Mus musculus: one gene and its partners. The protein of the gene in region 1 purifies or fractionates together with the protein of each later gene. This does not show direct contact. Links are inferred from orthologs where the notes say so. Each region holds a gene or a part of one and is shown in the gene's direction. Other genes may lie near its edges. The genes, in order: Snrpa1, U2surp, Sf3b4, Snrpd1, Srrm2, Phf5a and Rbm17.

Evidence for each region.
Region 2: the proteins of Snrpa1 (region 1) and U2surp purify together in Homo sapiens (affinity purification with mass spectrometry; 5 studies listed by BioGRID and IntAct, with this or other methods). This does not show direct contact. The link is inferred for Mus musculus from reciprocal best matches to the Homo sapiens genes SNRPA1 and U2SURP.
Region 3: the proteins of Snrpa1 (region 1) and Sf3b4 purify together in Homo sapiens (affinity purification with mass spectrometry; 3 studies listed by BioGRID and IntAct, counting the BioPlex papers as one, with this or other methods). This does not show direct contact. The link is inferred for Mus musculus from reciprocal best matches to the Homo sapiens genes SNRPA1 and SF3B4.
Region 4: the proteins of Snrpa1 (region 1) and Snrpd1 purify together in Homo sapiens (affinity purification with mass spectrometry; 4 studies listed by BioGRID and IntAct, counting the BioPlex papers as one, with this or other methods). This does not show direct contact. The link is inferred for Mus musculus from reciprocal best matches to the Homo sapiens genes SNRPA1 and SNRPD1.
Region 5: the proteins of Snrpa1 (region 1) and Srrm2 fractionate together in Homo sapiens (co-fractionation; 3 studies listed by BioGRID, with this or other methods). This does not show direct contact. The link is inferred for Mus musculus from reciprocal best matches to the Homo sapiens genes SNRPA1 and SRRM2.
Region 6: the proteins of Snrpa1 (region 1) and Phf5a purify together in Homo sapiens (affinity purification with mass spectrometry; 4 studies listed by BioGRID and IntAct, with this or other methods). This does not show direct contact. The link is inferred for Mus musculus from reciprocal best matches to the Homo sapiens genes SNRPA1 and PHF5A.
Region 7: the proteins of Snrpa1 (region 1) and Rbm17 purify together in Homo sapiens (affinity purification with mass spectrometry; 5 studies listed by BioGRID and IntAct, with this or other methods). This does not show direct contact. The link is inferred for Mus musculus from reciprocal best matches to the Homo sapiens genes SNRPA1 and RBM17.

Annotation. Positions count from the first base shown.
Region 1 is NC_000073.6:66,058,898-66,063,135, forward strand, and holds the start of Snrpa1 (U2 small nuclear ribonucleoprotein A'), read left to right. Parts: upstream 1-1,438; 5' UTR 1,439-1,713; coding exon 1,714-1,795; intron 1,796-3,226; coding exon 3,227-3,374; intron 3,375-4,238. UniProt on the Homo sapiens protein: Involved in pre-mRNA splicing as component of the spliceosome. Associated with sn-RNP U2, where it contributes to the binding of stem loop IV of U2 snRNA.
Region 2 is NC_000075.6:95,509,197-95,513,198, reverse strand, and holds the start of U2surp (U2 snRNP-associated SURP motif-containing protein), read left to right. Parts: upstream 1-1,202; 5' UTR 1,203-1,337; coding exon 1,338-1,382; intron 1,383-4,002.
Region 3 is NC_000069.6:96,171,233-96,175,305, forward strand, and holds the start of Sf3b4 (splicing factor 3B subunit 4), read left to right. Parts: upstream 1-1,273; 5' UTR 1,274-1,341; coding exon 1,342-1,375; intron 1,376-1,738; coding exon 1,739-1,867; intron 1,868-2,308; coding exon 2,309-2,851; intron 2,852-3,090; coding exon 3,091-3,297; intron 3,298-4,073. UniProt on the Homo sapiens protein: Component of the 17S U2 SnRNP complex of the spliceosome, a large ribonucleoprotein complex that removes introns from transcribed pre-mRNAs.
Region 4 is NC_000084.6:10,624,296-10,627,795, forward strand, and holds part of Snrpd1 (small nuclear ribonucleoprotein Sm D1), read left to right. Parts: intron 1-2,530; coding exon 2,531-2,722; intron 2,723-3,498; coding exon 3,499-3,500. UniProt on the Homo sapiens protein: Plays a role in pre-mRNA splicing as a core component of the spliceosomal U1, U2, U4 and U5 small nuclear ribonucleoproteins (snRNPs), the building blocks of the spliceosome.
Region 5 is NC_000083.6:23,813,225-23,816,724, forward strand, and holds part of Srrm2 (serine/arginine repetitive matrix protein 2), read left to right. Parts: intron 1-1,897; coding exon 1,898-3,500. UniProt on the Homo sapiens protein: Required for pre-mRNA splicing as component of the spliceosome. As a component of the minor spliceosome, involved in the splicing of U12-type introns in pre-mRNAs.
Region 6 is NC_000081.6:81,869,093-81,873,154, reverse strand, and holds the start of Phf5a (PHD finger-like domain-containing protein 5A), read left to right. Parts: upstream 1-1,262; 5' UTR 1,263-1,290; coding exon 1,291-1,342; intron 1,343-1,965; coding exon 1,966-1,989; intron 1,990-2,656; coding exon 2,657-2,823; intron 2,824-4,062. Other genes in the region: Aco2 (aconitate hydratase, mitochondrial precursor), read right to left, coding at 607-642.
Region 7 is NC_000068.7:11,593,200-11,596,699, reverse strand, and holds part of Rbm17 (splicing factor 45), read left to right. Parts: coding exon 1-71; intron 72-1,271; coding exon 1,272-1,369; intron 1,370-3,235; coding exon 3,236-3,292; intron 3,293-3,500. UniProt on the Homo sapiens protein: Splice factor that binds to the single-stranded 3'AG at the exon/intron border and promotes its utilization in the second catalytic step. Involved in the regulation of alternative splicing and the utilization of cryptic splice sites.

The DNA of each region.
Region 1 (4,238 bases):
ACAAAGGGATTACGAACAGCAGCTGAGGCTTGGCACTGTGAGAGGCCAGGGATGGTCACTGGTGAAGGTGTAGCCTCAGTTGGAGTTGATGGCCCAGGGCTGAAGGGGTCACCACTACATAAACTCACTCCAATAATCCTAGCACATGAAGATGGAGGCAGGAGAGTGAGCTGTTCAAGTTCCTTCTCAGGTCAGTCATTCCATGACTCAGCAGGTAAGAGAGTGTGTACAGCTCTTTCAGAGGACCAGAGTTCAGATCCCAGCAACCACGTGTAACCCCGACTTCAGAGTATCTGGCACCTCTGGCCTTTGTGGGTATCTGCACTCATGTGCCCAAAACCACAGAGATATAACAAATAATTTCTAAAAGTATTTTTAAGAGTGTTTTCTGCTCATGCTGAGGACCAGGGGTTGACTTCTAGCACACATGTCCAAAGGATCACAACGGCCAGCTCCAGGGAATTTTAGGCTGAAGCCTCCCCTGCACCTATACACAGGTGGGCATGTACATTAATTAGTAAGCTATGATTTAAAAAAAATACGCATATGATTTCGTGCATTTAAGGCTTGGCACTGTGAGAGGCCAGGGATGGTCACTAGTGAAGGTGCAGCCTCAGTTGGAGTTGATGGCCTAGGGCTGAAGGGGTCATCACGTATACACAGGTGGGCATGTACATTAATTAGTAAGCTATGATTTAAAAAAATATGCACATGATTTTGTGCATTTAAGCCTTTGGAGACAGAGGCCAAGGCTCTGCAGGTATATTGTATTCACTGTGGGGCACTCATCACATGGCAATTTCTGATATGTGTATTCCCCTGCACTTCGTATGAATTTTTTTGGTGTTGTTTGTTTGCTTGAGATAGAGTTTCTCTGTGTATCCCTGGTTGTTCTGGAACTGGCTCTGTAGGCGAGGATGGCCTCTATCTCCGAGATCCACCTCCTTCTGTCTCCAAACTGCTAGGATTAAAGGCATTCTCCATCACAGCTAGTCAATATGAATATCACTTATGGTTTATTTTATTTGTGTGTGTGTGTGTGTGTTTGCGGTTGCCGGTGTCTGAGGAGGCTAGAAATGGACGGCAAATCCCCTGAGGCTGAAGTTACAAGCAGTTGTCAGGTGTCCAGACGGATATTGGAATGCCAACTCAAGTCCGTTACAAAAGTTGCAAGTGCTCTTAACCTCTAAGCCACCTGACCAGCGCTTTGGTATGAACACCTAAATGTCTACAGGCTACAAGTTCACCCTCAAGCTTTAAGGTGACTGTACCAGGTCAGAAGGGTTCTGTTTTAAGGCAATCCAGCCTACGGGTCCTGCCCCTTACCTGCGGAAGCCCAAGTTAGACATTTAGGAACTTGACTTTCAGGAGACTTCACAGTCTCCGCCCCTTGTTGGGTGGAGAAGGGAGAGTAGTCCCAACTACCCCTCCCTTGAGGTTCACTGACGTGAGACAGAGCATCCCTCGCGTGTTCTTATCTTTTGGATTAAAAAAACTGGAATCTGGGCTCCCCACACTCCCAGGCACGCTCAAGCCCAGAACCCAGAAGCAAAGACACGGGGGCTACGTCTTCGATTGCTTTAGCCTGGCGGTCGAGCTGCGCGGGGATACGATTGGTGCTGTCTGGCGGCGAGGCGCGGTGCACTGTGGGACACGGCACTGGCGGGAGGCGCAGGCTGGTGTCGGAGGTGAGGGTCCGCGGGCTGCGACAGGATGGTGAAGCTGACGGCGGAGCTGATCGAGCAGGCGGCGCAGTACACAAATGCCGTACGGGACCGTGAACTGGACCTCCGGGGTGAGTTAGACGGAGCGCGGGCTGTGTTCCGGCCCCGGCGCGTGGCTGCGGGAAACCAGCCCCGCCGCGTGCGCAGAGGCTGGAGCCTGGCCCGTGGGCCTCCACCCGGGCTGGGCGCCTCCGATCCACCGTCCCGCAGGGCCCTTTGGGGCTGTTTGTTACCGGCGTTCCGGCTAGCAAACACGGCGCCTCGATTCCTTCCCCGGACCGTACTCACTAGGCATTGCCCCGCTCATCGAGCAGCTTTAACTGTTGGAGGACTAGGAAAATAGAAAACGCTACGGACAGGCCGGCTGCTGGCTGGTGTTTTTTGTTTGTTTGTTTGTTTGTTTGTTTGTTTGTTTTTTAGCAAAAGCGTTAATGTGGCACCTGAGGGTAGGGTGGATATGTACCAGAGTTACCTTAATTGCCCCAATAATTCCGGTTTGGTTTTGTTCATTTGTTTTTGAGACAACGTCTCGTGTATTCCGAGCTGACTTCAAACCGTTATATAGTTAAGGTTTATCTCGAACTTCGGACCCTCTTGCCTCCACTTCCTGGGAGCTGGGTTTAAATGCCTGCACCACGTTTATATGGTGCTTTGGATGAGCCCAGGGTTTCATGTCTGTCAGGAAAGCACTCGCGCTACTGAGCCAGACCCGCAGCCCCGGATAATTTGGTGTTTTCAAGATTGAGCTGTTTGACCGTGGCATAATGGTCACTTCTGTGTGTGGGGTGGCGGAACTCACCTGTTCAGTTCTGACAGAAGTAGCACTTGATTTTTAAAACATAGAACTGAGAGGTAATCGTTAACTATTCAGGAGATGGCTTTGGAAGGGGTTAAGATTATAAGACTGTGACCAGAGGCAATCAAAGTCTCGGGGGCGCTGTGCACTGCCATTTTTGAAAGTTTCTTCCTGCCTATGGGAAATCCTAGTGTTCTTTGTGTTTGTTGAATGAAATTAACTTTCTTGGAGAAAAGTCCGGTTCAGGAGCATCTGGGTCCTTTCACTGTCTTGGCACAGTTTTGATGTCTGCTGTCTCTCTGAAAACCGTGCAGTCTGGAGAATGCTTATTCTGCTACCATATCTTTTATTGCACTCCTTCACAGCTGGGTTGTGTCCTTCCTTATAGTACCTAGCTCAGTGACGAATGTGAATACCTCATAGACGTTCTTAATAAACCATGGGCACCAATACTAGTAAATATGCCCATCTGTTCTTCCTCTTGCCTTCAGCCTCTTCAGTTTTACTTCAAGCTTTGTAGCACTAAGGCCTCCACTTAACCCTTTCGTCATTTACCTTATTTTTGTTCAGTGCACGGCATGGTGCTAGTGCCTGGTTAATACTTCCCGAATGGGAGCGCTGAGTCAAATTCCATCACATACTCCTGCGATTTTCAGGACTTTTCATTTATATTAATATTTGTTGTATGTATGTTTTCCCTCTACAGGATATAAAATTCCGGTTATTGAGAATCTGGGTGCCACCTTAGACCAGTTTGATGCTATTGATTTTTCTGACAATGAGATCCGGAAACTGGACGGTTTCCCTTTGTTGAGAAGACTGAAAACATTATTAGTGAACAACAACAGAATTTGGTGAGTGACTGCTAGTGAGAATACTTTCTTCCCTTAAGTAAGTGTTCTAATGTACCCTGAAGATAATGGGGTTTTGGTTGTTGTTTTGTTTTGTTTTAATGTATATTAGTTTTTTGCTTGCAGGTACCACACACCCTCCTAGTGCCTCTGGAGGCCAGAGGAGGGCCTTGGCTTCTCTGGAGCTAGGTTTACAGATAGTCCTGAGCTGCTCCAGCTGTAGGAATAGAATCTGGGTCCTCTGGAAGATCAGCCAGGGCTCTAAGTTGCTGAGCCACCACTCCAGCCTGCCCATGTGTCTTAAAGGGAGAAATGAATAGAGCCCTTTTCCTAAGAGGTTGGAGATTAACTTGGGCATTGGCCTGACCTTACTTGCTACTCTTCAGAAATCTTTAATATTCGTAACTGACATTAAACTTTGAATTTGAAGCATTGTGCTATGTCAACAAATCAGATTTTAGAGTAGTCATCAATAGCATCATAATTAAAAAGATTTATAAAGGCCATGTGTAGTGGTATCTGCCTTTAATCCTAACACTCTGGAGTCTGAGGCAGGCTGATCTCTGAGTTCAAGGACAGCCTTGTTGACAGCAAATTCCAGCCAGGGCTACATAGTGAGACCCTGTCACAGTAAAAATCTTTTTATGAAATAAAGTTACTTTTCACTGAGTACCTATACCTCATCCACTATGCTGGTTTTGGTTTTTGTAGTTGGTTTCTACAATATAATTCTGTGAAATTAAGATCATATTTGTTTGTATGAGTGGGGTTTCTCTGTGAGCCCTGGCTGTCCTGGAACTCACTCTGTAGACCAGGCTGGCCTCAAACTCAGAGATCTGCCTCCCTTTGCCTTCTGAGTGCTAGGAT
Region 2 (4,002 bases), on another chromosome or scaffold:
AAATAAATAAATAAATATCAATAAAATCTGGTGGTAGGCGATGAGGTATAAATAAGCCAGGTACCAGAGATAGAAACCGTAGTAACAGGAAGCCAACGATCAGAAAGTAACGGTTGCTATGCATGAAAGTACAGTATAATACGGTTCTGTGCCCTCCAGCCCAAATGAATTTATTTCCATTCTCAGGTCCTGTCACACATCTCCAATTCTGAGCCTCTTCTCTAGGTCTGACCCTTATCTGTAACTGAAATCTAGGTGATGGCACACACGTTTTCTCCCAGCACTTGGGAGACAGATCTCCGAGTTTGAGGTCAGCCTGGTCTACAGCACAGGGACAGCCAGGGGTGGAATGCCGACAAACTGGAAAAACCCAAATCAAACCAAACTTACTCATTCCCCGCTTCCCTTCAATTAACAAAAAGCTTAGACATGGTGGCCCAAGACTAATTCCCAGGACCTGAGGCGGGAAAATCAGCAGTTCAAGGCTATCTTCTGCTACACAACTTTTGCGACTATGCTTCAAAGAAATAGGTGCGGGTAGCCAGAAGTCTCAGAGGGAAAAAGGCACTTGCTGAGCAAACCTGCCAACCTCATTTCGATCCCCAAATCCCACCAACTCCTTCAAACTGTCCTTTAACCTCCCCACAGTTGCTAGGGCGTGCCTGTACTGCACAGTAACAATAAACATGCTCGTTTTAGAACAGCGTCTATATTACGATCCATCCCTCCCCAACTCCATGCCCAGTCTATGCAGGTACCATGCTCCGACGTCCTAAACAGTTTTTATCCTATTTCCCTGTTTTTTCTCAACTCTGAAGTCACTGCTCACCATTTTTTAACGTGAGCAGATTGCAAATTTGCCTTGCCACCAAGGCCTGTGCCCCCTGGGGGATCGTGCGGCAAAGTGTCTCGACGAACTGCCTCATCAGCTGAGGTGAGACGCTCGGCTCACGTGGCTACTGCAGTTGCTTTAAAAGAGCAGCTTCCTTCCCCCCTCAGGAAGTAGAACCCGCTCGCATCTAACGCCGGTTGGCTCTGGGAGGAAAATGACTGAATTATCAGTTGGCCTTGAAAGTCGGGTCAAGGAGAGTCCCTAAATTCCGCAGGCGCGTGACGTGACTGGGCGCCGCAATTCACCGGAAGGCGAGCGGGGTGGGCGGGGCGCGTAAAAGCGCCTCGACGCGGAAGTCACGCGGCCCCGGCGCCGCGGAGGTCTCCGTCTCGGCGTTCGGCTATTCGGCCTGGCAGCCTTTCTGGCGCGCTCGGCTGCTATCTGTTCTCTCGGTGCTCGACTCACCCGCGCTGCTGCCTCCGCTGAAGGAGGAGCAAAGCTCAAGATGGCCGACAAAACGCCAGGCGGATCTCAGAAGGCCAGTTCAAAGGTAGTTTCTTAGAGATCTCCGTCAGTCAGGGGGGTCTCTCACCGTGGTCGAGGGCCTACAGAAGCCTCTGGCCTTCGAGGGTTTCCTGGGGCGAGGGGCTGAGGCCTGTTGGCCACAGTGGGCCTGGCACCGCTGCACCAAGGTGCGCAGGTTGAGAGGCCCGAGCGCGCGTCCGTCCCGACTGGGATTCAGCCCCACACCAGCGTGCCTGGTGGCGAGCGGGGCTGGTCACCTCGTTCGGCTTTGTGGGTCAGAGCAGTGGTTCCGAGGTGGTCCGGCGTCCTTGTATCACCCCTTGCTGCTCTCGGAGGCTGCGGGCTAGAGGCTGGGAGAGGCGGGAAGGTTCCCGGTCTTAGATGCCTGTTTCTTCCCCCCTCGTCCTCCCTTCTTTACTTTGGCTCTTACTCGTTCCTGGCCTTACACGGTTTCTCTCCTTGCCGTCCAGGAAATTAGGCTGGACGGGTTGCAAGGGTGTGCGAGAGACCCGCCAGTGGAGGGCCTGGGGTTGGGACGTGCGGAGGGAGCCGCTCTCTGAGCCTCAGGGTTAGAGCCACACTTCCCATGTGATTTTCCTCCCACTTCCCGGGAAGTGAAAAGTGAACAACATCCCTCTTGAGGGCCGCAGACTCAGGGTCTCAAGCAGTATGTGGGGTTTCCATTGGAAAGGGAAACTACGGTAGACGTGGAAATTGCCCAAATGCCCTTACATGTGAGTTTATAGGGAGCCCTGTGCATTGCTTGGGAAACCGTTGAACTGTAATTAAGCGTTAGTAAGGTTGGGTTAACAATTGGTGTTAGTTGCCATTTTGGCCAGCGTGTTTAATCCCATTTATTTACTTATCTATTTTGGATTATTTTGCTTGGAGATTCTCGTCCCCATCTCGGTATTAAAGATGCCTAAGTACTGCCATAAACCAGTGGCGAGGCTTGAGATGCAGAGATAAGGAGTTGGATAACATTTAAAGAGTCTCGGAACGTAAAGTGTATGATTATCTGTTTGCATTTGCTGTTTGGTTTGAGAAACAAACCAAACTTGCTCTCTTTCTAATAAGGCTGACGTTTATTTATTTGTTAATTTTTAAATTTTTGCCATTTTGCTGAATGATTGCCCCAGATTTACTTAGCAAGTAGTAAAGGTCTTACTAGACATTCTTCAGAACTATGGGAGGGCCCAGTTCTGGTTGTCCTTACACCAGACCTTTACTGTAAGTCAGCTTCCTTTTTCTCCAGTAGTTTTTCCCCTCCTTCCCTTTCTGGGGGAGCAGGTGAATGAAGGGGTACCTCATGATGCCACTCCTCCTTTCAGACCCGTGACCAGGACAGGTACCCACATCCATAGTTACAATTTGTTTTGATATTCTTCTCAAAGCATTTAGTATTTCCTGCATGAGGCCTGGGTAGATTGAAAGCTTTTCAAAGTATGTGTTCAGACTTTTTTCTAAGAGAATACTTCTCAGGACTCTGTGTAGTTTTTAAGTATTAAGTAGCTTGTTGGATTTTTTTTTTTTCATTCACACTTGTCAGTTTATAGTCCTTTAGATGTCACCAAAGGGTTCCTTACTCGTGTCTGAAAAGGGAATATTTATACTCAAGAGTTTTGCCAGGATTTTTCCATGTAATGGAAAGTGTTGTAATGGAATGGCGAGGTTATAGGTTTTGAAAACAAATACGATACCTAATCTCTTCAGCCTCAGGTTTTCTTATCTTATTACAGGAAAAAAATTCTTTTATAGGGCTGATAGAAAGATGGAGTTACTGTAAATGTTAGTAAATCTTACTTCAGTTTCTAAGTCTATATAGATCATCCACCCATCCTGCGTACTAGGTTTTTGAGCTGGGTCTCCCGTAGCCCAGGCTGGCTTGAACTTTAACCTTCAGCATCCTGCTGCTCCTTCCTTGTATTTCCCAGAGTTGGGATTACAGGCATGTGCCAACCGCTTCCAGCTCCCTTTTTTTTAAGGAACTAGAAAGCACTGATTTGGATTATTAAGTGTTGGCCATCATAATGACCACTCAAATTGTTGTTGTTTTTTTTTAATTTCAAATGTAAGTCTAGACATTATTAGATTATAAGATCATTTTGGCCTTAGTACAATATTTGGAATTTCCAGGCTTGTATTCTGTGCTGTATATCAAGTAAGTAGAGACTTCTGTTTCATGCTCTTGCTATGGTAGTTACATTTCCATCAATTTGGGTAGAGGTGTTTATTAGTCATTTCTACACATTGAAAGAATATTTGTACAAGATATAGGGTTTTTACCATTGACCATGATGAAGTCTCTATCTTTTACAAAAGTGTGCATGTCTGTGTGCACACATGTGCACCCTCATGCCGCAGTGTAGATGTGACAGAGGACAACGCTAGGTTCTAAGGATCAAATTCAGGCCTTCAGGCTGTGTGGCCTATGTCTGCATTCTCTGAGTCATGCTCATGGCCCCATTAGTGTTTCTTAATTACAAAATACATAAACCACTAGTTATTTTTAGCTTTAAAATTAACTTCATGATGTACACAGTGTATGTAGTTCTTGCTAAGGGGACTTGATGGGGGGGCACCCTTCCAAAGTCCCTTTTATTTTATGTAATTGTTCTATACTTTTCATTTTTAATATCTCCTGG
Region 3 (4,073 bases), on another chromosome or scaffold:
AACTGTTTGTTAGCGTCGTTCTCAGAGGCAGGGCAGGGGTCTCTGCTCATCTTCCTGTCTGACCTTGACGCCTCAGCTTTGGCATTCCAGTCTGCAGAGTTCACTTAGAAGGCCCGTTTCTGTAGCAGATGGTGGCGCTACCAACCTAAAGGTCTCCCGATTTGTTTGATTTCTGGGGCTATTTTCATTTCTTGTGATTTGAAAACTAAGAAACAAGACCAGTTCAGAATGTGATTGCCCCTTTTCCCAGGCAATTCTGTACCTTTTGGATGGCCGTCAAAACTGTGACATGAGAGACCCTTTTCATCAGTCCCAACAATGATGTCCTAGAGACCTCATTCGCAACCTCTCTACACTACTTTGAAATCTTTTCTTAGTCTTCTGTGGGAACGAGGTGAATAAGGGAGAAACCGTCTCCTCCCACTGTATATTTTCATAGCAGCGTTTCTATTTAAGGAGTTCATTAAAGCACAGTATTTCTACACATTGCTGGTATTTTCTTGTGTTGAATGAAGATCTCAGCAAAGCCGTGGGGGTGGAGGGGAGGGTGTGAACTGAGAAAAACACCCAAATTATTGTAAGGAAATAAAGGATCCAAGTCAGGCGTGGCCTGGAAGAAATACACATAAAATATGGGGGAAGGGGTCCGCACACCTTTTTTGAGACATGGTCTCTATGTGTCTATTAGGCCAGCTGGAACTCTGTTTTTTGAGACAGGTTTTCTGTGTGGCCATGGCTGTCCTGGAACTCGTTCTGTAGACCTGGCTGGCCTTTAACTCAAGAGATCCATGTCTGCTCCTTAAAGCTTCGATACCAGCCCGCAACCCAACCCGGTTTCGTGTCCCAGATTTCCCAAGATAAGCGGAGATTTGACACTTAGGGGAAAACAAAATACCTCAGGCTCAAGTCTAGGCCGAGGGCGAGTCTGCACGAGCGTCGTGGACCTCACTAAATAATAGGTCGCTCCAGAAGGCAGTCCTGGCCCTGCACTTAGGACACAACTCTGCGTCACAGAACGTACAAAGCCTGGTTTTGCACTTGAATGTGCGTTTGGGGAGCCGTGTGAGCCTCTAACAGTCTGGAAGCATCCGGGGCTTTAGTTAACTGTGTCGAGACGGGCTGAGCACATCCGTTCCGCCCCGACTACAGCAGCAGCCCTAGAGCGCCTTTCCCTTCCGAAAGACAAGACTCCGACCCCTAAGATGGCCGCGATCGCTTCCGGCTCCTCCCCCCCCCCCCGGCGCCGGCCCCGCCCAACGTGAGCCTTGGCCCGGAAGTGGAAGTTGTAACTGAGGTCAGGGGGCGGTGCTGCTGCTTAGAGACGGCGGGAGCCCCTTCGCCATGGCTGCCGGACCGATCTCCGAACGGAATCAGGGTAATTGGGAGAGAAGAGCCCAAGATAGGAGCAGGGAAGTGGAGGGAAGATTAGTGCCGGAAGCGTTCCCCCTGGGGTGGTAGACGAGATCCCCCCCGGTGGGACACCGACCTCTGGGCACCTGGCTGGCCGCGAGGCCGGGTGCAGGCCGAGGCCTGTGAGAAGCGATGCTTCTAGATCAGCTCCCTCCACCAAGAAGACAAAAGCCTCCCGGGAGTACCGGACCAGCAAGAATGCCAAATTAGACGTAGCAGATTTTCTAGATGATGGTGGCAGAGGGAATTTCAGGGCTTTAGGCGACGGTTTTTGGTTTTTGTCTTCTTTTTCACTGCCGACTCCTCATCGCCTGCTTCTTCCCTTTAGATGCCACGGTGTACGTGGGCGGTCTGGACGAGAAAGTGAGTGAGCCGCTGCTGTGGGAGCTCTTTCTCCAGGCAGGGCCAGTGGTCAACACCCACATGCCCAAGGACAGAGTCACTGGCCAGCACCAGGGTGAGTAGGGTACGGGGCAGGAATCAGCCCTGGAGAGGGTTAACCGGCCCCGAAGAGGCTCAGCCGCTAGGCACAGCGCCTTTGGAATGAGCAACCTAAAGATTGCTTTCTCCTTCAGCTTCAATTCCCAGTTTCTGGAATATTTTCTCTTAGCTCTAGTTTCTGGAACCATTCTCAACCATTCTCTGTGTAGTCCTGGCTGTCCTAGATCTTGCTCTGTAGACCAGGCTGGTCACGATCTTTGAGCTCCACCTGCCTCTGCTACGAAGTGGTGGCATTAAAAGCACGTGCACGTGCAGTCGCCCAGCTATTATCTATTATGTTCTTTGTGTTTGAAGGCTGGGGAGTTAATGTTTCATTTTGAGTCTCTTCCCCTGAATGATGGGTTTTTTTTGTTTGTTTGTTTTTTGTTTTGTTTTGTTTTTTTCATTGATTCCCCAGGCTATGGCTTTGTTGAATTCCTGAGCGAGGAAGATGCCGACTATGCCATTAAGATTATGAACATGATCAAACTCTATGGAAAGCCAATACGGGTGAACAAGGCCTCAGCTCACAACAAAAACCTGGATGTGGGAGCCAACATTTTCATTGGAAATCTGGACCCAGAAATTGATGAAAAGCTGCTTTACGATACTTTCAGCGCCTTTGGAGTCATCCTACAGACCCCCAAGATCATGCGGGACCCTGACACAGGCAACTCCAAGGGTTACGCCTTCATTAATTTTGCCTCCTTCGATGCTTCGGATGCAGCAATTGAGGCCATGAACGGGCAGTACCTGTGTAACCGTCCTATCACTGTGTCTTATGCCTTCAAGAAGGACTCTAAGGGTGAACGCCATGGCTCAGCAGCTGAAAGACTCCTGGCAGCCCAGAACCCGCTGTCCCAGGCTGACCGCCCTCACCAGCTGTTTGCCGATGCACCCCCTCCGCCCTCTGCCCCCAATCCCGTGGTTTCATCCCTGGGTTCTGGGCTTCCTCCACCAGGTACAGCTTGGAGTTCAGACTGTGCCAGTGAGGCTCTTGGGAGGGAGGCTCAGGAGGCAGAAGCAGCCCTGGTAGAGTAAGCTGCTAAGTTGTTGGGCAGTGAGACAGGAGTGAGGCGTGCTGGTGGAAGGGATGAAGTTGGCGGATGAAGTTGGCAGATGGAGTGAAGCTGAAGGGAAGCCTGCAGGGGGGAGGCTGGAGCTCTGCAAGACATTAACTGTCTTCCATTTCTTACACAGGCATGCCGCCTCCTGGCTCTTTTCCACCTCCAGTGCCACCTCCTGGGGCCCTCCCTCCTGGGATTCCCCCAGCCATGCCCCCACCACCTATGCCACCTGGGGCTGGAGGACATGGCCCCCCAGCAGCAGGGACTCCAGGGGCTGGACATCCCGGTCACGGACACTCACATCCTCACCCGTTCCCACCAGGTGGGATGCCCCATCCAGGTAAGGGCTCTGTGCTGGGAAGGAGCTGAGCTTGTGAGAGGGGCTTTCTTACTGTCTGTCCTGGTAGTCTTGGATGAAAATAGTCCAGAGTCCTCCTTTTCTTCAGAAACAGACAGTACTTTGTACGTGTTGGTGCTCCTGTTTTATCTCCAGTTCTTGTATTTCCTAAAGGATAGCTTGTACTGGGCAAAACTCTCAACCTCTCCTCTGCTTCCAAGGTTGCCAAATCTAGAAGACATTTCTGCTTTTGGCTTTTTGAGAAACGGGTTCTCTGTGTAGCTGGCAGTGTCAAACTCAGAGATCCTCTTGCCTCTGCCTCCCAAGTGCTGGGACTAAAGGCGTGCGTGTTTCTAGATTTCTCTAATGTCAACCATAGCAACCTGGATCGGCTCCTTTTTTTATGTTTGTGTAGATTTTTTGCTTGTTTCTCTTTTCTTTGTTTCTCTGTAGTGTTAAATGTGAAGGTGCTAATTTACCATTGGTCTCTGGTCTTAGGTTCTTGGCAGGCTAGAAAAGGCCACTGCTCAACCCACACTTAACTTTCCTCTTTCTGACACCATCTTCAGTAGTTCTCACTTGTAGGAGCCCAGTTTACAACTCTGGGGCTTTGTCTGTTCTGTCCTCCACTTTGCAGAGCAAGTCTAGCTTATGTTTTTGTCATTGGTCACAAGCCAGTGCTCAGACTGCACTCACTTCCTGTCACTGACTCAGGGACTCATCTACTTTCACTGAGTAACTTTTCCAGGGTATTCACAGACATTTTCTTCTTCTTTTGT
Region 4 (3,500 bases), on another chromosome or scaffold:
TATTGTGCACACGTTTTTTTATCATTGTTCATCCTTCATTATCCTCTCCTGTTTGTCTCCTAAGACTTTTTTTTTAAAAAGTGGTTATCAAAGGGAAAAATAGTATTTTTTTTTTTTCCCCCGAGACAGGGTTTCTTTGTGTAGCCCTGGCTGTCCTGGAACTCACTCTGTAGACCAGGCTGGCCTGGAACTCAGAAATCCACCTGCCTCTGCCTCCCAAGTGCTGAAAAATAGTATCTTAACATGTGTTCCTATTCTCTAAAATACTGACCTTGTAGATGTGTAAGTTTTTAATAGGTAGGTCCAGTGTTTTAGTAAGCCAGGAGAAAATGGGATGGCATTTTGTGGCTCTTCTAGAAGTTATGTCAAATTTCCATATCTAAGGATGTACTGTTGCTGCCCTTGTTAAAGTTCCTTGAGTAGGATTTGGCCTGTTCCTGTAGAAAAGCATTGGGAAAGATCTCCTCCTCCTCCTCAGCGTCCTGTTTTAGATGCAGGATTTATGTATCCTGGCTTCAAACTAACTGTGTATATTTGAAGATGGCCTTCTTCTGGTTTTGTTCCTCTAGCTCCTGGCTGTTGGTATTTCAGATGTGCACCACCACACCTCTTTATTTAGCAATGGGGATTGAAGCCAGTACTTCATGTATGCTAAGGAAGTAGTCTACCAGCTGAGCTACGTTCCCAAACCCCAGAGTGGCATGTTTGCTGCCCACCTACCCACCCCTCCCCTATCAAAATCTAATGATGAAAATTGTAATCCAAAAACAAAACAAAACCCAACACAAGTTTCTGTATCTCATATGAATGTACACACATACACACACACACACACATATATGAGCATATGGAGGAGAGGGAATGTAGTAAGGCTGTCTAGGAACTAAGAGAACTTCCTTCTTTGGAGAAGAAGATGAAAGCATTTGTTGTTGGGTTTTGTTTTGTTTTGAGACAGATTTTTTTTCAGTATAGCTGACTGTCCTGGAACTTGGTCTGTGGAACAGGCTGACCTTGAACTCACTAAGATTGGCCTGCCTCTGCTAGAATTAAAGGCATGTTCCACCCTTGCCTAACAAAGAAAGGATTTGTAATAGTGAATTTTTGGAGAGAAAAACAGTAAAGTTAGCCTGGCATGGTGGCTCGTGCTTGTAATGCCAACACTTAGAAGGCTAGAGCAGAATCCTTAGTTTGAGGCAACTCTGGGCTGCATAGTGACAGCCTGTCTAACAGAACAAAAACAAATATATAAACAAGCTCAGTTAAAGGCTGGGTTATAAGGTGATTGTACAGTTACCTAGCATGCTTGAGGTCCTGGATTCAGTCCATGGCACCACAAAAAAATATAAACCTTCACATTTAGAAAGACATAAGGACCCAGACAAAGGACCTAGTTGGCAAAGTGCTTACTGTGCAAGCTTGAGAACCTGAGTTCAGGTCCCCCAAAGGATGGGTACTTCCTGTTCTGAAATTCCAGTTCTCTGAGACATTCTGTCTGAGAAAACAAGGTGAGAGGGTGTGCCAGCTCACCCCTGTGGGTAAAGGCATCTGATGCCAAGCCTGACAACTGAGTTCATGCCTCAGGATCTACACAGAGGAAAGAGAGCTGATTCCTAAGAGTTGTCCTGATCTCTAGACATGCACCATAGCGTATAGGTAGCTGCCTTCCCACACAGCCATGCTCATACAAATTAATTTTGATAAGATTCTGTTTTTAACTCTGTATGTATGTGAGTACAGGTGCCTTTGGAGGCCAGAGGTACTGGGTCTCTCTGGAGCTGGAGTTACAGGCAATTAGTTAGGGCCCTCCAGATGTGAGTACTGGGAACCAAACTTGGTTCTCTGTAAGAGTCCTGCACACTTACCATTGAGCCATGTCTCTAGCCCCTAAAAATCATTTTAAGTAAATAAATAGACATGTTAAACTGGGTGTGGCGGTGAGTACCTGTAGAGCAAGCACTTGAGAGTCTGAGGTCAGCTTGGGGCACATAAGAAAGTGGGGGAAGAGTTCCTAATGATAGGGAAAAATACCATAGGTCTTTAAGAATAAAGGCCTATGGCCTGATAGAATGTTGGTTAAGAAGTTATGGGGATAATGGGAGATTTTATCACAAACACTATCTAATCCTGGGACAAGAATTCAGTCCTGAAGGTAGTAGACTCAGGGCTCCTTCATAGCTTGCTATGCTCATTTCCTTTGTCTAGCAAATAGGCTCTTTCTCTGTTGTCCCAGCTTTCCTTGAACACATGCACTCCTTGTGCCTCAGCCTCTTGAATGCTGAGATTACAGGAGTCACTTAACCACACCACCAGTGCATTCAATTCTGTAAGTGCACTCAGCTTTGTACAGAGGTTTTGTTGCTGATTTATTTTGACATTTTTCCCCGTTGTGCATATATTGTCACAGGAACTTGACCTATAACATAGCAGAAAAAAATTCTTTACAGTATGATTTCAACTCTTGGTGCAATATATTGATTGCCTTCTTTATCATGCTGGTAATTGTTCTGCTTCCCTCCCCACCCCCCTTTAGGTGTAGATGTCAGCATGAACACACACCTTAAAGCTGTGAAAATGACCCTGAAGAACAGAGAACCTGTACAGTTGGAAACATTGAGTATTCGAGGCAATAACATTCGGTATTTTATTCTACCAGACAGCTTACCTCTAGATACACTACTTGTGGATGTTGAACCTAAGGTGAAGTCTAAGAAAAGAGAAGCTGGTACGTGTGAAAGTGTTTTATGTATAGTGTATTTAAGTCTTAGCTCGCTGTTCAAAATACATTTGTGAACAAGGGTGTTTTTGTGGCTCAGAACATTTGTCTTAGGACATGCGCTACCTAGAGTTCTGGTGCTGCTGTGGAGAAGAGTCCCTCCAGTCCTCTCTTTCTAGTTTCTTTAGAAAGCTATTTTTCCTTTACTATATGCACACCTTTAATCCCAGCACTTGAGAGACAGAGACAGGTGGATTTCTGTAAGTTTGAAGCCAGCCTGGTCTATAAAGCCAGGAAGCCAGGGCTAAAAAATGTATGGCGTTACCAGGGTGTGGGGGATATCATCACCCAGTGGCAATCACAGCATGATGTCCTGGGTCTGATCCTGACCATGGGTGGGGTGTTACACCTCAGTCTGACTGCATCAAGCAGGCGCTCTGCTTTCTTGCCTTTCCTTTCTTTGTCCTCATGATGACCAGCTAGAGATACCGCTGTGTGTTCAAGGCTGACATGTTAGAAGCCAAACAAGTTTTCAAGCTCCCATTTGGTTAACGTGCTTGGCTCCTATTAAATAAGCAGAAATCTGACACGGTGTAAATTTGTCTCCCTGCTTTTTACATGATGGTAGTGGTGCTCATATTTGAGAGAAGCTGAGTTAGAGCTTTTTTACTCTAGTTAGCGGCTAATTGAAGAGGTGTAGGTGGGAAAATGCTCGGGATAAGCTCTTGGTGGCAGGTATGTGCTGTTGAAAAGGAGTTCACCTGCTTTGTTTTTCCTTTCTCTAGTT
Region 5 (3,500 bases), on another chromosome or scaffold:
TACAGCAGCTAAAACTGCCCTCTTGGGTTGAGATGTTGTTCCTTCAAGGAATCCATGTCTGAATGTGGGATAAACAATTTTAGGCTCCTCATCCACCCAGACGCAGTAGTGCTTTGTCTCTTTTAGTCTTGGGACTCCAATAATACTCTTGCTCTTGCCACAATAGCCACATTTGCCACAGGTCAACTTCTGAAGGTGGTGGTTAAGTGCCTTAGTGCCATAGAAGTGGCACATGTACATCGAATTATGACCAAGGATGATGTTTTCTTTTGTCATCTTGCTTCTGCCCAACAAAAAGTTTTCTTTTTTTTTTTTTTTGATTTCTTTTTTTTTAAATTAGGTATTTTCCTCGTTTACATTTTCAGTGCTATCCCAAAGGTCCCCCATACCCACCCCCCAACAAAAAGTTTTCTAAAAATTACCTTTAACTTTACTACTTAAAGTATCTATATCCTTTTTATTGTATGCTTGTCATGAGTTCTTACATTTTTCAATCCTTTGATTTGATGCCACCAATCTGAAAGCATGAAAGAATTATCTTTTTAGTAGTTCCTGTTTTATATTCTCTATTCTAGTTCTGTGGCTGATTGTTTCTACTGGTTTCAGTAATTAATGTAACTTAATATTTCCCGTATTGTGTCTCATTTTAAAGATAAGTTACAAGAAAACTTTGCTGCTTGCTATGGTGTTTGTGGTGTTTTCTGTAATTAAGCTGTTTTTATGGTTTGGCCTGTTCCTGTAAGACCATGGTGAATTAATTTTTGTGTGTATGTATGAGGGGGAGGCAAATGTGTTACATGTGTTTGGAGGTCAAAGGACAAAACTACCTATATATGTGTTCTGTGGATTGAACTCTGGTTACCAGGCTTATGTTGCAAGTGCCATCTCATTGACTGTTGGTCAGTATGTTTGTTTTTGAGACAGGGTCTCCTTACATAAGGCCCTGGCTGTCATGCAACTTAATACATAGTTCAGGCTAATCTTAAACTCACAGAGCTCCACCTGCCTCTGTCTCTGAAGTACTGGGATTAAAGGCATATATGGCCATGCCAGGCCCCTCTTGATAAAATTTAACACATTATACACTTTAAAACCTTGTGCCCATTTGTGATATTTTAAGTCAGTCCATATTCAGGTGAAAGTTATTGTCACCCAAACTTTCTCTTTTTGTTTAATTATACCTTTTTTGGGTGGTGTTGTAGTGTTCATTTGCAACCCATACACAACGTCAGACACTTTCCCTTGAAAAGAAAAAAACATTCAATAGAGATGACTTGCTTGATGAGTTTAAAACACTCATCAAAAGATATTGAGTAAGTTTAAGAGAACAATGTACAAAGCAAAAAAAAAATTAAGAGGTAAGATAAAAAAAAAGGAAAATGACTTAGTAGGTGAGTAATTGGTTGCTAGTGATAGTCTATGTGTAACCCCAGTATGCAAAATGGAGACAGGGCTGTCTGTCTATAAGGTGTACCACAGGGCAGGTGGTATTTTGTTGGTAATGCATTGTTTACATTTTCTTGTTTCTCTGAATTACTACTTGAGGTTAGAGATTGTTTATATGGTCAGGTTTTTCCCTTGCTACTTTATTTTCTCATTGTTAAAAATGCATTTATTTTGTGTGTGTGCATGTGATACATGCACATGTGCAGTTCATAGAACAATTTTGAAGAGTAGGTTTTCTCTTTGCCACCTCATGGGCCCATTAAGCTATCTTACTGGCTCCCAACTAAGCATTGCATATTGTCTTGTTACTGAGTATAACTATGGGTAGGGAAAGGGTCAATTGGTATAAGAAGTATATAGTGTAAAATTTTATTAGAAACTCTTCGTATCTTATAGGATAATGAGGTTTTGGTGTTTTTTTTACTATTCCTACTTCTCTTTTCACTCTTAGAAATCTGCAGTTCGACCTAGCCCCTCTCCGGAAAGGAGCAGCACAGGGCCAGAACTACCTGCCCCTACTCCGCTCCTTGTTGAGCAACATGTCGACTCCCCACGACCCCTTGCAGCAATCCCGTCCAGTCAGGAGCCAGTTAACCCCTCATCTGAGGCTTCCCCAACCCGGGGCTGTTCACCACCTAAGTCTCCTGAGAAACCTCCCCAGTCTACTTCCTCAGAAAGTTGCCCACCATCCCCTCAACCTACCAAAGGTTCTCGGCATGCCAGCTCTTCTCCTGAAAGTCTTAAACCCACACCAGCTCCTGGGTCCCGTCGAGAGATTTCTTCTTCACCCACATCTAAGAATCGCTCGCATGGCAGAGCAAAGCGGGATAAATCTCATTCTCATACCCCATCTCATAGAGCAGGGAGGTCTCGTAGTCCTGCCACTAAGAGGGGACGGTCTCGATCTAGAACCCCCACCAAGAGAGGTCACTCCAGGTCCCGGTCCCCTCAGTGGAGAAGGTCAAGATCTGCACAGAGGTGGGGAAAATCTAGAAGTCCCCAGAGGCGTGGCCGTTCAAGGTCTCCTCAGAGGCCAGGTTGGTCCAGGAGCAGAAATACCCAGAGAAGAGGCAGGTCTAGGTCAGCAAGGCGAGGCAGATCACATTCTAGATCTCCAGCTACTAGGGGCAGATCCCGATCTAGAACACCAGCTAGAAGGGGTAGGTCTCGGTCCAGAACACCTGCCAGGCGAAGATCACGATCCAGAACACCTGCCAGGCGTAGGTCTCGGTCTAGAACACCAGCTCGCAGGGGCAGGTCCAGATCAAGAACACCCGCTCGCCGCAGGTCTAGGACACGATCACCAGTTCGAAGGAGGTCTCGGAGTAGATCCCAAGCTAGGAGAAGTGGTAGGTCTAGGTCCAGAACACCAGCCAGGAGAAGTGGCAGGTCAAGATCTAGAACACCAGCCAGGAGAGGGAGGTCCCGGTCTAGAACGCCAGCCAGAAGAAGCGCTCGATCTCGGTCTAGAACGCCAGCCAGGAGAGGGAGGTCACGATCCAGAACACCAGCACGACGACGATCTCGAAGTAGAAGTCTTGTGAGACGTGGAAGATCTCACTCTAGAACACCACAAAGAAGAGGACGATCTGGCTCATCCTCAGAGAGGAAGAACAAATCTAGAACATCTCAGAGGAGAAGCAGATCCAACTCAAGCCCAGAAATGAAAAAATCTCACGTTTCCTCAAGACGGAGCAGGTCTCTTTCTTCACCACGATCCAAAGCAAAATCTTTGAGGCGAAGCCTTTCAGGTTCCTCTCCATGTCCTAAACAAAAGTCACAGACACCAACCAGGCGAAGTCGTTCTGGTTCTTCACCACCTAAACAAAAGTCAAAAACACCACCAAGACAGAGTCGTTCAAATTCTCCTCAGCCTAAAGTAAAATCTGGAACACCACCAAGACCAGGGTCTGTAACAAACATGCAGGCTGATGAATGCACTGCAACACCACAGAGACAGAGCCATTCTGAATCATCACCTGATGGTGAGGTGAAATCAAGGACCCCATCAAGACAAAGCTGCTCTGGGTCTTCTCCTCGAGTGAAATCTAGCA
Region 6 (4,062 bases), on another chromosome or scaffold:
AAAACATCTGTAACATTAGTAAACAGCCTTGACATCTGCTGCAAAGGTGAGAAAGCACTCTTATCGTGACTATTTATTATGGTGGGGCCCAGAATAGTCCTTCTTGTGTCTATGACCCCGAGTCTCCTCAAAGGGTAGTAGTGGATATAGCTTCTGCAAACTCCATGCCCGGCAACCACGGATAAATGAGGCGACGAGTCTCTGCTACTGGTGGGAAGTGAAGGCTTCAAGCACCCGGCTTTAGAGGAACCCACAACCACCGCGCCCCCCAATCACCTTGTCATCACCTTGAGGAACAGAAAACCACCCTGGGGGAGCATGGATTCCACCCTCAGAAAAAAAGGAGTGCCTCCACCCTGGACCAGGCTGCCGCTGCTTAAACCCAAGCTTGCCGGCGGGCGGGGATGGGAACTGCGAACAGCCTGTGCCAGGGACGCCTTGACCTAGGACAACGCAGGAACCCACAAGGGCGCTGGGCCTGCAACCGCGACAGGTGCACGGAACGTCAGCCGCGAATCGAGCCCGCCTCGCCTGGCCTCGCCTACAGCCGCGGGCAAGGCAGGAGGCTCCCCGCCCCCGTAAACCCACGTCTCTGGGCTCGCTTACCTGCAGCCGGGTGACCAGGAGGCTGTAAGGCGCCATTTTGTGCACTGACAAAGATGAGGTCGCATGAAAGTGACGTGACAAATGGCGCCCTTAAAAAAGCATCGAAGGGGGCGGGGCTTACAGAGAGACGAGTCAACCGCGAGGGTGGGGCCTCCTCCCGCAGCCAAGAGTGCAGATAGCACAGTGGGCGGGGCTTACATGACGGAAACCCGGCGTGGAAAGCAAAGATGCGGGGAAACTGCCAACTCGGCGTTCGGCGCAACCTTGTCACCTTTGCCCTTGGGTGTGGAAGCTGGAGGGGAGGCAGGAGTTCAAGGTCATCCAGGAAAGAGAATATCCCCAAATCAACATACTTGGCGGAAGCATGCAAGAAGCCCTGGCGTCAATCCCCAACACAGAATGCAACATATGTAGAATTTTTACCCAAGAACAAACTTCAGTTTATGAGTTCAAATCTGGAAGTAAAGAGAATTTTATTCAAAAACCTTTGGTGCACCTGCAAGGACCTAGCGAGGAAACTCTCGCGAGATCTAGCCGGTTTTGGTGCCCCCCCCCACCCCCCGAGGCTAAAGGCTGACGGACAGCTTAATGGCCAATCACGGAGGAACGGAAGTAAGCACGCCGTAGGTTAAAGGTCGGGCGGAAGTTCCCTAAGCTTCCGGCCGCCGGCTTGGAAAAAGAGTTATGGCTAAACATCATCCAGATTTGATTTTCTGCCGCAAGCAGGCTGGTGTGGGTGAGTTGGGGACGTGCTCCCTTTTGGTTGAGTGGGATGGGATTAGAAAGTGGGGGACTAGGGACTTCAGCCTCCTCTTTAGGGCTCTGGTTTGCCGTGTCCACGTTTCGCGCCTTACGGTGCCTGGGTATTCTAGCAGCGCTCACCGGCTTGTGGCATCTTAGAAGAGGGCAGCAGCGCGCATCCGGGAGTCTAAGGCTGGCGGGATCCTCTGTGCCAGGTCTGGAGAAGCCGGTCTAGAATACTTTGAATTTTGGGGGGTTCCAGACATTTTTTTTATTTTTGACATGGCCTTTGGTGTAAAGCAAAATTTAGGGTCGTGGGCCGGGAACTCTTGTCTGTAATCCCAGCACCTGGGAGGCAGAAGGCTGGAAGATTGCTGCGAGTTCGAGCCTGGCTAGAGCTTAAAAGCTAACTCAAGCTACACAGTGGGATTCTATCACAAAAAAGTAGGGGGTGGGGGACAGTGGAGAGGGAGGAAAGGAGAATGTGACCACGATCCTGTACGGTTGACTGTAATCATTGCTACCTTCGCCATCCTCTATACTCAGTTTGACGAAAAACTTTGCTTGCTACCTCACAACCTTAATTTTAACGATGTTTTACTATCTTTGACCTTGCAGCTATCGGAAGACTGTGTGAAAAATGTAAGCCGAACACGCCCTCTCAGGCCTTGACACCTTTACTCTTTGAAGAGTCGTCAATTCCAGTGGAACAGCAAAGAAGTCTTTTTTTGGGGGGGGGGGTGTTTTAAGACAGGGTTTCTCTGTATAGCCCTGGCTGTCCAGGAACTCACTCTGTAGACCAGGCTGGAACTCAGAAATCCGCCTGTCTCTTCTTCCCAAGTGCTGGGACTAAAGACGTATGCCAACACTGCCTGGCTAGTAAAGAAGTCTTAAATAGATAAACCAGCCTGCAGAGGATACTAAATACCTGGCTGCCACCAAAGACTGCCCCACCATCCTCCCACTTAAGCATGCAATTTTTAATACTTCATATTTAGGTTTTGAAAAAAAATGTCTACTTTTGGACAGTAAGATTTGTCAAGAGTAGTGGGGACCTTCCCAGCCCAATGACATTTGTCAATTTGTTGACAGTAACTACATAGACTTAAAAGCTCCCAGACACTAATACAAACTCTTTCCATGAACTACTAAACTGAGACGGGTACAGGATAAGGCTTATGCTGTCAAGGTAGAAGAAGGTCCTAAGGTCACTGTCAGAAGGAGACTAGTGATTTCCCGCATAGGGCAGAGGAGAGATCTTAGGGGAGTAATCGCTATTGGCTATAACTCAGTTCTCCTCTCTCTACAGGTGACGGCAAGTGTGTGATCTGTGATTCCTACGTGCGTCCCTGCACCCTGGTCCGCATATGTGATGAGTGTAACTATGGATCTTACCAGGGCCGGTGTGTAATCTGTGGCGGCCCCGGAGTCTCCGATGCCTACTACTGTAAAGAGTGCACCATTCAGGAGAAGGATGTGAGTGTAGGCTGAGCTTCCTACCCGCTCTTCTCTTCCTTTTACTTTGAACCATTTTGCCATCCATGGCCACCTCTTCTGATCTGGGCTGTGGAGATTGCAGTGTTCAGCTAGTTATCTAGGTAATTTCTTCAAGCCTGTGAGCCAAACTGGGTGTGGTCTAATAAAGAGCAGTTACTCTGTATCAGGGCAGAATGGAAGAGAAGCAAGTCTTCATTGGTATCAGCAGTTAGGAGAACTTCTCCATGTACCTTGCTGTCTCCTGCGAATGGGTGTGTGGACAACCTGCTGAAGGCAGTTCTCCCTGTAGACTCTGGTCCTGGCGGTTGAGTGCAAATGTTAGGCTTGTCAAGTGTGTTTACCTGCTGTCTTAGTTAGGTTTCTTCTCAATGATACAACAAGATTAAAAGCAGCTTTAAAGAAAGAAAAGGTTTTCTTCCACACCTCCAGGTAACAGTTTGTCGATGCGGGAGCCACGGAGGATCGATCACTGCTCTTTCCCCTCCAGTTTGCTCAGCCTGCTTTCTTACTGCCTCCAGTTCCACCAGCCCATGAGTAGTGCTACCCACACTGGGCTGGGCTCTCCCATGTCTGCCATTAATCAAGAAAGTGCACCACTGGTCGAACTAGTGGGCCTTTCTCAATTGAGCTTTCATCTTTTAAAATGACCCTAGTTTGTGTCAGGCTGACATAAAGTTAGCCAGGGCAGCTCATTTTTATTCCTTTTTTTGTTTGTTTTGTTTTGTTTTGTTTTGTTGTTGTTTTGGTTTTGGTTTTTTTGAGACAGAGTTTCTCTGTGTAGACCAGGCTGGCCTCGAACTCAGAAATCCGCCTGCCTCTGCCTCCCGAGTGCTGGGATTAAAGGCGTTCATTTTTATTCTTAGCCACATGTAAGATCCTCTGTTTGTGTGCTAATGAGTACGTCGGTGCTGTGTAGAAGACACTCAGTGGCTCTGCCTGTATCTGTCTTCCTCTTTTTCTCACAGACATAGGTGCCAGTGTGTCTCAAAATGGCCTGGAACCAAAGGTCCTCCTGCTTCAGCTTCCTGAGTGCAGAGGTTACAGATTTGTACCCACATAGTGGTTCTCTGGGCAGGGATGTAGGATGTGGCAGCTACTGAGGTAGCCTTGCTATGTTGGCCCTGGCTGGTCTAGTGCTCATTATGTAGTCCAGGGTAGCCTGAAACTCAAAGCAGTCCTCCTGCCTCAGCCAGCCTCTTAGATAATAGGATTACTTGC
Region 7 (3,500 bases), on another chromosome or scaffold:
AAGCGCCAGAGAGAAGAGCGGCAGAGGCAGCGGGAGCTGGAAAGACAGAAGGAAATAGAGGAAAGAGAAAAGTAAGTTTCCTTTTGATTTGGGAGCAAATGTCTTCTGTCAATGTGTGTTACAGTGAGTGAATTTTATTGTTGTCTCTAGGCCTGAGGTTATGGTTTCAGTCAACAAGGGTTTACCCACATTGATGGCACACTTGAGAAAATTTATTTATAGACTCAGAAAACCTAAAGTATAGACTTTGCATGAATTAGAAAAATAACTTTGAAAACCCACTGGTATCCAGGTGTGGTGGTGCATGCCTGTAATCCCACCCATGTAGTGTTCAAGGCCAGCCCTGTTTCAGAATCAAAACAGCAGACTCCATTGTTGCCATTTTTCCCTGGTTTGTGACTGCTAGAACCACATTTAGAGTATTTCAATGCTATTCCTTTACTGTATTTTGGTTTTGGTTTTTTTGACACAAGGCTTCTCTGTGTAGCTCTGGCTGTCCTGGAAATCACTCTGTAGACCTGCCTCGCCTCAAACTCAAGAACTCTACCTTCCTCTGTCTCCCGGGTGCTGGGGTTAAAGGCTTGGGCCACTATACCTGGCTTCCTTTCCTACTTTTGAGCCAGGTGAAATTACATGTATTTTTTTTTAATTTACTTATAATGTACTTATATAATACTTATAATTTAAAATTATAGGTAATGGGATTATTTCTTAATTTTATTATTTAATTTAATTTATTCTCTCATATATTAAATCCTGACTGTAGTTTTTTTCTCCCTCTCCCCTCCCAGCTCCTGAAATCATATGCCATATTATCCAAAGTTAGATGTCAAAATTTTTTCCCTATGAATTATGCCCATGTATCCATTAAAGTTGTTCATTTTTTTTCTTTTAAATTTTTCTATTGAATCCATTCCCAGAATACATATAAGAATTAACTATTTAAGCCAGGAGTGGTGGCGCACGCCTTTAATCCCAGCACTCGGGAGGCAAAGGCAGGCAGATTTCTGAGTTCGAGGCCAGCCTAGTCTACAAAGTGAGTTCCAGAGCAGCCAGGGCTACACAGAGAAACCCTGTCTCGAAACCCTCCCCCCTCAAAAAAAAAAAAAGAATTAATTATATTCAGTGAACATTTTTCTTTCTTTCTCTTTGGGTTTTTTGTTTGTTTCTTCGTCTTGTTTTGCCAAGAGGAAGTCATAATGACAGTTAAGCTTTATTTGGGCTCTGTCCTAATGTATCAGGGATGGCCATTTGTTACTTTGTCATTACAGGAGGCGTAAAGACAGACACGAAGCCAGTGGGTTTTCAAGACGACCAGACCCTGATTCTGATGAGGATGAAGATTATGAGCGAGAGCGGAGGAAAAGAAGTAAGGCGTGAGCGTGGACAAGCTCGCCCTAGACTCAGCACTGTCCCGGCTTTGCTTTCCCTTTCCCGTGAACATGGTGTATTTCACATTGGTTTGAGTAATTGGGGGGCTGGGCCAGTGCCCTAGATTCTCACCAGTCCACATTCCGTAGCAGCTTTGCTTTATGCTGTTTAATATCTTCTCTACTGTGAACTTTACTAACATGGCGAAACACCTGCTTTGAAACAGCATTAGGTCTACTTCTGCGCTTCTCCTTAATTGAGGCCTGGTCATCTTTTGCCTCTTCTCCAACCCAGAGCATTTCTGGCCAGCCCTGGATGTAGGAGGAGACCCCACATCCGGGGCACATTTGCTGATGACTCCGCTGCATCCGAGCATCCACGGAGCCTCTTTCATGTTCACCTGCTGCCTAAGCAGGGCGATCAGAGTCCGCGGCACTGGGGCTGTGAACCATCCCGTCTTACTATGCTAAATCTATAGCTTGGGTTCTCCTCAGTGGGCACAGTGGTGTGTGCCTGTAGTCCTGGCACTTTAATAGAAACAGGAGCACAAGCTCAAGGCCGGTCTGCATGAACAAAACAGAAAATAACGTTTTAAATGTCTGTTACAAATATGTCTTAAGAAGTGAAATGTCAGCCTCCTTTCTTTAGGGTTATATTTCTAGTTAATGTGCACCACCTGCTCTGTTCATCACCACCCGCTCTGTTCATCATCACCCGCTCTGTTCATCATAGTGCATCTCTACTGGCCTTCATTTCTTTTGTGAAACCTTTTAGGCTGATTGATACAGCATGGTTTTATAACCAATTTCAATTGGTCTTACTATTCCACTGATTAAAGTCACAATACATCTGGGTGAGACGCTTGACACAGGGTCTCCTTCTGGTGCTGGAAGTGACAGCTCTCGGTGACCTCCCAGATTGCTAATGCTAGAGGTATGGCCAGGACACTGTGTATTTTGGGATTCATGTAATGAAGAGTTCCTTACAGTCTGTTCATGATATCCTAGTTGTCATGTCTTTCAGTTTGTGTTCATGTTATCTGACCAGCAGACATGGGCAGGAATGGTGGCACTGCCTAACGTGTTCCTAAGAGCTAGGACTCATACTCCCCAGAGGCGTCCCTGATCCAGCTGTGCTTGCTGGGGCATTGTCCCTGATCCAGCTGTGCTTGCTGGGGCATTGTCCCTGTTCCAGCTGTGCTTGCTGGGGCATTGTCCCTGATCCAGCTGTGCTTGCTGGGGCATTGTCCCTGTTCCAGCTGTGCTTGCTGGGGCATTGTCCCTGATCCAGCTGTGCTTGCTGGGGCATTGTCCCTGATCCAGCTGTGCTTGCTGGGGCATTGTCCCTGATCCAGCTGTGCTTGCTGGGGCATTGTCCCTGATCCAGCTGTGCTTGCTGGGGCATTGTCCCTGATCCAGCTGTGCTTGCTGGGGCATTGTCCCTGATCCAGCTGTGCTTGCTGGGGCATTGTCCCTGTTCCAGCTGTGCTTGCTGGGGCATTGTCCCTGTTCCAGCTGTGCTTGCTGGGGCATTGTCCCTGTTCCAGCTGTGCTTGCTGGGGCATTGTCCCTGATCCAGCTGTGCTTGCTGGGGCATTGTCCCTGATCCAGCTGTGCTTGCTGGGGCATTGTCCCTGATCCAGCTGTGCTTGCTGGGGCATTGTCCCTGATCCAGCTGTGCTTGCTGGGGCATTGGCTTTGGTATCACAGGGAACTGGATTTATTCCACTTCTTCAGATTCATCTCTGTTTGCTCAATTGGAAACAGGAAGCTGTAATTACTTACTACACAAGTGCCAAATTGGTATGCTAATTTGGCTTATTCCTTAAAATATACTGCTAATCACAATCCTTGTGTCTTCACAGGTATGGGAGGAGCTGCCATCGCCCCACCGACGTCTCTTGTAGAGAAAGACAAAGAGTGTATGTGCCTCGCTTTCTTTTATTACCTATTCTCACACAGGTATTTGTGGACAGTGAAGATCCTAAGCTTGACTCTCTTGTGTCCTGAGTTTAGAGCAGAATAGCCTGGTTTTCATCCCTGAAGTCACAGTGGCCTTGCTTCCTGCTATACCTGGGATGCTTTGACAGGGTTTCTCTGTATAGCTCTGGCTGTCCTGGAGCTCACTTT